2 linked regions of the Drosophila melanogaster genome follow. The protein of the gene in region 1 interacts with the protein of each later gene in a pairwise test. Each region holds a gene or a part of one and is shown in the gene's direction. Other genes may lie near its edges.

The links.
Region 2: the proteins of CG3909 (region 1) and CG4563 interact in a two-hybrid assay, tested with the Drosophila melanogaster proteins (one large-scale study listed by BioGRID).

What each region holds. Positions count from the first base shown.
Region 1 is NT_033777.3:10,041,548-10,045,261, forward strand, and holds CG3909 (uncharacterized protein), read left to right. Parts: upstream 1-1,722; 5' UTR 1,723-1,799; coding exon 1,800-1,802; intron 1,803-1,855; coding exon 1,856-2,147; intron 2,148-2,218; coding exon 2,219-2,457; intron 2,458-2,514; coding exon 2,515-2,702; intron 2,703-2,756; coding exon 2,757-3,030; 3' UTR 3,031-3,059; downstream 3,060-3,714. Other genes in the region: CG11722 (uncharacterized protein), read right to left, coding at 3,080-3,207, 3,266-3,512, 3,579-3,670.
Region 2 is NT_033778.4:24,451,356-24,455,110, reverse strand, and holds the start of CG4563 (uncharacterized protein), read left to right. Parts: upstream 1-2,070; 5' UTR 2,071-2,105; coding exon 2,106-2,255; intron 2,256-2,322; coding exon 2,323-2,717; intron 2,718-2,783; coding exon 2,784-2,900; intron 2,901-2,958; coding exon 2,959-3,755.

The sequences.
Region 1 (3,714 bases):
TAAGGGCAAACATTTATTCTTATCCTCCAGTCACATTAGTGCGAAGGCTAAGAGCAACCGTGATGGGTTTGCTTTGGAATTACGAATGGAAGTGGAGCAAAGCTGTGGGATTTAGAGTCATTTAACTTTACGGATCTTTAAGCGTCACTACTACTACCTAACTACCTTTCTTTCTATAGGACCATTTCATACCCTAGAAGACATCGTTTGCCTGTAGTATTGTTAAAATAAACGAATAACTAACTTTCATATACCAAATCTCAAGTAAAGAATGTTTTATGAAATGAATACACCTCTCTTAAGATATATGAATCCCAACATGTGTGAGAAAATTAACATAAAATACCGATAAGATTACATAAACATGCAAATCTTCCACTTCATCTTATAATATAGCATTATTGATCCCCGGCTGGCGACTCACCTTGATAATTTACAAATTCAGTTGGAACTGTTTGATTTATTCGAAAGGGTTTGCATATATCATTTTGAAAACGGCAAATTGCGATTATAATCGAAACAAAAGTGAGCAGAGGAAGAGAAGAAGAATAAGAGGAATGGCGATATTAGGGAGATAAAGTTGCACGCGAAAACCGGTTGCCGTTATTGTTTACACCAAATCGGAAACGAAGTTGTGGGGGCAGGCGCGAATATGAATGTTGTACGGAGGGGAAGAAGTGGAAACTGGGCGGAAAACGGAGAACGGGGAACGGGAAAGTGGGAATCAATAAAACAAACACACCACGAAAAACACATGGAAAGTGCAGCAAAACTATATGCCTTTCATTTCGGTTTAGTGCACAAATCGGCGAGTCCTGCTGCCACAAGAATGAATCATTCGAATCTTTTCGATTTTGTCGAAAGATATGATATGTGAGATAAATAATATGCTGATGCACAACCACACACACACTCGCACTCACGCTCACGCACACCCGCCCCCACACACACGAACGAACGAGGCTTCACTGTTTATGTTTATTAATATATTCCAGACACGCGGATCCATAGAAGAAAATCATACATATTCGAATTCACGGCGGCGACGACAGCAAAATGAAAAAAAATCGAAAACGAACCGAAAACTGAAAAGCAGAACACACGCGTTGGTCCTATTCGTTCCTTTGTTTTTGATATCGTATCGCGAGGGGCTAAGAACTATAACTATATCCGCATTATATAACCGCACTGGTAGATCCGGGCATGGCTGCACCGTGGGGCACGTAATTGCACCCGTCACTTACACTTTTCCTCGCCAGTCGCTTGGATCTCGCGTCCGAGTCGTTTGGGGATTTGTTTTTTAAAACGCGACGTTCGTTCCTCGGTTCTCGACGGCTATAAACAGTGTGGCCGCGCCGGGAGTGCAACTATAAGCCGATGGTGTGACCATGGCGGGAAAGTGGTATTATGCCGTGTGCCATATGGGCAAATATACCAAAACAATAAATAGCAATTCAAATAATTTAATATATAACATGTTTACTTAAAAACTAAGCTTTTTACCTAAATAAGTATAATAAAGATATAATAAAGTAAAATATTATTTTGTTATATATAATATTACCTGTGAAAAAATTTTAAAAACGTCAATTTGTTTTATACTTCTTTATTTCTTTCATTTATATAAAGAATTCCATGTTTAATTTATTCACATTGAAACATATTCAGCATAACAGTTTTGACCCACTGTAAACCTCCCTTTTCAATACTAATTCTAACGTCAACCATTGTTATCGATAACAGCTAATTTGCTGATCGCTCTCGTTCGCATAAAATAAACACTTTTCCGGCATTTTAAAATGGTAAGTAGATATTTAACGAACTGTGCCTTTTATACATCCCTTTTTTCCGCTAGTTTTCTGTCCTTCATAAAGAGGAAAATGCGCACGACAGTCAGCTATGGGCGTGCACCTGGGGACGCGACACTGCGGCCTCAGATCCGGATGACGCGGTCGTGGAGCCCGAGGAGAATCCCTTTGATTTCGATAAGAAGGAGGCCCGCCCGAAGGATTTCTTGGTCACCGGCGGACTGGATGACTTGGTAAAGGTGTGGGACTTGCAGGAGGACAACACCCTAAAGTTGCGCCACAAACTAAAAGGACATGCCCTGGGAGTTGTTTCTGTGGCCGTCAGTTCCGATGGACAGAGTAGGTTGAAAGATTCTGTACTTGGGAGATAGAGAAATGGACATCAATTAATGGTGCCGCCTTCCTTCCAGCCATTGCCAGTAGTTCTCTGGACTCCACCATGTGTTTGTGGGATGCCCGTTCGGGCGACAAGAAACACCTACTTAGCTTTGGGCCTGTTGATCTCTGGACGGTGCAATTTTCACCCTGCAACAAATATGTGATATCCGGACTGAACGACGGCAAAATCTCCATGTACAGTGTGGAAACCGGAAAGGCAGAGCAGACATTGGATGCCCAAAATGGGAAATACACGCTTAGCATTGCCTACGTAAGCTTTATCTGGTAAATAACCCATTTTGAGAATCCTATAGCTGTATTATTCTAGAGTCCCGATGGCAAGTACATTGCCAGTGGAGCCATCGATGGTATCATTACCATTTTCGATGTGGCCGCGGGCAAGGTAGTGCAAACATTGGAAGGACACGCGATGCCAGTGCGTAGCCTTTGCTTTTCTCCGAACTCGCAGCTGCTGCTCACTGCCTCAGATGATGGTCACATGAAGCTTTATGATGTGTAAGTGGCTTAACACCTATGACATTTTCAGGCACTACTATCTCCTCGTTTTAGAACCCACTCCGACGTTGTGGGCACCCTATCTGGGCACGCATCTTGGGTGCTGTGCGTGGCATTCTCCGAGGACGGCAAACACTTTGCCAGCTCCTCCAGTGATAACAGCGTGAAAATATGGGACACCTCGGAACGCAAGTGCCTGCACACGTTCGCCGAGCACACAGATCAGGTGTGGGGCGTCCGATATAGCCCCGGAAACGACAAGGTGGCCTCTGCTTCTGAGGACAAGTCCCTGAACATATACTACTGTCCGCCCAATGCCATTGTTTGATTTCATACAATAGAGCGTAGGTTTAAAACAAAGAACAAGAATGATTTATTTACGGATTACCCTCCGAGCTCGATTTAACCCGCAGAAGGGGCTGCGTGGCTTGAGTTAGCATCGTGTCTTTGTACTTCTGGTCGGGTATGTACATATTAAAAGTTTTAAAGTAGTGCAGTATGTTTTCTAAAAAGGGAAAAGTTAGACTGAGGTATTCTGAGAACACATTTTCTTTTAGGTTTACCAACTAGAGGCTCCTTAAGCTTGTACTCATTGGCTATCTTCTTGGCTGGCCAGGATTCAGGATCCAACTGGTGGTCATTGATGAACTTAAGCGCCTGGCGCAGTGTGCAATGACCGGGGCTAATGCGGTTGGGCTCCAGATATCCGTACTCAAAATCATCCGGCGTTTTGCGTTCCAGGGGCAGTGGTCGCTGTTCCACATTGTCCGCCGCCGCCTCAGCTGCCTGGCGCTCCTGCACTCGCTTGATCTAGGGAACATATAGCAGGTTCCATATTAGTATTGGTCGAAAGTACCTTCTAAGGTATTAACCCACAAATCGATCCTGCGAGGTTACATAAACGTCTTTCAATCGTCCGTCCAAGCTGGAGTCTTTCATATTGAGCTTGTCCACGAACTTGGGATCCACTGTAATGGGGAAAATGAAGCATTACACTCCAAGGGTGTTTAAT
Region 2 (3,755 bases), on another chromosome or scaffold:
TATGCAAGATTTATGACAGTTGCGCTTCGGCGGCATCCGTCGAGCACGTGGCGGACCACCAACAAGTGTGATAAGCGTGATAAGGCCCCGAACGCAAATCCAAATGTTTTCCACCGAGCCACCGGGGGATTGGTGTCTAAGGTCAGGGACACTGACCGCACACCGCTGATACCAGACAGTTGGAAGCAAGTGCGAAAAAAGTACGGAAACTATAGTTTATGAAAGTGACCATCGTATCTAGGATCTAAGTATATATCTCTATATTGCAGTGAATATTAATAATTAACTTCGAGCTTAAAATGACTTATTATCTAGAGGTGGTATTCCAATTGTGGGAACCATTAAAATCAAATGCAAAATGATGTCTCACGGTGGGCAGTGTTGGAGCTGATAAGCCGCCTGCTTACAAACTAGATATCAGTGGGCCCAATTAGTTTCTCCACTAATTTCTTATCGAAAATTTGGAACCCCATCAAGGAAGCCTATATTCATTCAGAAAACAATAGGGATCTCCAGTGAAATAGTATTCTTATCAGGCATCGACAGTCCGCCGTATTATGCAACTATTTGCACTTGAGACACAGTTACCTCGCCATCCTGGCAACAAAGTTTTAGTCTTATCACACAGGTGAAACCCCCAAGCGCAGGTGCACTTTCATTCAGAAAGAATTAGTGACGCGGAGGGCGATAAGCCGTGGAATAATAGTATTTCCTTATCAGCCATCGACTGCTAATTCAATTATGTAACAGTTCGCACTCGAGTGATGTTAATTAATTAAGCCGGCACTTGAAGCACAAACTGGCTGTCTGTCCGTCGGATTAGTCATCCACAAGTACGGCCATAGCATCTCGTCAACCCGACATACTTGCGGTGGAATCACCTGGGAGGTGGGGGCATCTCATTATAACGCACATTATTAACTGACGCCTCGTGTCACGCCCGAGTGGGCAAGGAGACCACGTTGGGGTAACCCGCCAGGACTGGCGCCCAAAACCGCCAATCAAATCGGCATCGCAATCGCAATCGCACTCGCACTCGCACTCGCTGACTCGGAACGGCGGCTCGTCCTGCCCGAAAGTCCGTAGGACTTAAAGCCTTAAGATGCAGTTTCCTGCGGTGGCACCCCCCATTTGCATGCCAATCGTCGGGAGCATCTTGTCCGGGTCCTTGCTTATGCATTTCGCCGGGTCCTGCTCATTTTGCCAAACAAATTCAGAAACACTTTAAACTATTTTGCTCGCTTTTGGCCGCTCTGTCTGTAATTTCATGTTAATATATGCATGCAACCGAACTCCCGGAGCTTTTCGAGGTACAGCCCCCCTTTTGGGGCGCCGACACACAATGCAAATAGCGCAACAGGGCGTGGCCCTCCCCGAAATTATTACAGCCATAATAAAATGCCGGCGTTGAGTTCATTTAAAAGGAACTATTTCGGAGAGTCCTTTGAAAGCGGCGCAGAACAACATTTAAGTTCAGGTTAAGCTGGCGAAATAGTTTCTGAAAACTTAAAGTAAACGTTCCAGGCGGGTCAAATAGATACTTCAAAGGATATTTAATATCACGAGCTTAAAACTATTTACAATATAAAGCGCAATTCTCTGTTAATCAATCACAAAATACATTTTTTATGCCACGTCCAAGTAATACCAGGTGCAATCAAATTAGAACGAAAAATATTGTACTTGCAAGGTAATCCCTTATAGTTTCCAAGATATCGTTCGTCAGAATCTATCTGTTAAATATTTTTCTAAGAATATAGTACAGCTTTTTATCTGACAAAAGTTCGGGAATTAATACTTTTGACCCCGGCGAAGTTTGCTTACTCACCTGCCTCTGAAAGGTGTTCCCATGGGACAAGTGGTACGGAAGTCACTGCCTCCTGGAGCGGAAATTAAAAAAGTGACTCCGGCTAGATTAGACGAGCCCACCTCGGGAATCAGCTGATGTTACCGTAAATCTTCGACTTATTTTGGCCAAACTTTGGACTCGGCAAGTGTAGCGATTAATTGCTTAATTGATATGATAAGCGCCCCTTCAGGGCGATATAAAAAGACAACGTAACGGCTCTGGGCACTCAGTAGAGATTTAGAATTGGACTAGCAAAATGCCGACAAAGGCGGTTTTCCCCACCTTCTTCAACAAGGAGACCCAGGTCTGGAGTGGCCCGCCACGGCCCACGGTCTACGACCACAACACCTCGGTCGGTCAGATCGTGTTCAACTCCCTGAGGTGCTGGCCCACCAATGTGATTCAGGTAAACGATTGCGTGACTGGTAGCCGGCGGAGACGGGAATCTGATGAGCTCGATTATATAAAAGTAGATCACCGACGACGACGGCACCGTGCTGACCAACGCCGACATGCTGGCCTACGCCACCCGGATTGCCCTATTCTTTAAGAGCGAGGGCTTGACCCAGGAGGACCGCGTCGGGATCATCGCCAACTCGAGCACCTTCGTGATCCCCGTGGCCACCGCCTGCTTCTTCCAGGCCACGCCCTTCCACGCCGTCAACTACTCCAGGGAGCCGGCCATCGTACAGGGTCTCTACTCGGTGACCAAACCCAAGATCATGTTCATCGACGGTCCGGACTACGACCGCATCAAGGAGATCACCAAGGAGTGGTCTCCCAAGCTGATCACGCTCACGGGTAAAGTGGAGGGCGTTACTAGCATCGAGGACCTCGTAAAGCCCCATCCCGCCGAGAAGATCTATGTGTGAGTAGTTTGAGATCTTCAATCAATTTAAATTTCAATAAATTCATTATTTTAAATATCTTTCAGACCTGCTTCCCTGGCCACTGGTGGCGACCAGATCGCCGTGGTCCTGTGCTCCTCCGGCACTGCTGGCTTGCCCAAGGCAGTTGCCCTCTCCCACCGCCACATTGCATCCACCAACTCGTGAGTTCTCAAGTTCAAAGCTCCCAGACTAGCCAGTCTAACCCATCTCTTCCCACAGGCTGTGCATCAGTACCGATGTGCTGTACACCAGTGCCACCATCGACTGGATGACCGGATTCTCGATTACCGTAATGAATCTCACATGTGGCTTCACTCGCATCATATCCAGGAGGACATTTAGCGCCGAGACGGCTCTCTACCTGGTCAGCAAGTACAAGGTCACCTGCCTGGCAATGGCGCCATGGCAGGCCTACGAGCTCTTCACCAGTCCACTGGCCACCAGCGAGCAACTGGAGTCCCTGAAGATAGCCTTCGTGATTGGAGGATGGATATCCCTGGCACTACTGCGGCGGGCCCAGGAGCTGCTGCCCAAGACCTACGTGATGTTCTCGTACGGAACCACGGAGACGGGAGTGGTGACCATCAACATCGACCACAGTCTGGAGTGCTCTGTAGGCAGACTGGCGCCCGGCATGAGGATCAAGATCCAAGGCGAGGATGGCCAGCAGCTGGGCGTGAATCAGACGGGCGAGGTGCTCATCGACATCGGCCTGAAGTGGGAGGGCTACCTCTCGAACCCGGAGGACACGGCCACCACCCTCCAGGATGGATGGATCAACCTGGGCGACCTGGGCTACTTCGACGAGGACAACAACCTGTACTTGGTGGACCGCAAGAAGGACCTGCTGAAGTACAAGTCCAAGCACTACTGGCCCAACGAGATTGAGCAGATCATCGCCGAGCTCCCGGAGGTGGAGCACGTGTGCGTGGTAGGCGTGCGGGATGCGAGATACGGTGACGCCGCCGGAGCCCTGATCATCAAGAAGGAGGGCGCCGAGATCGCCGACCAGAAGG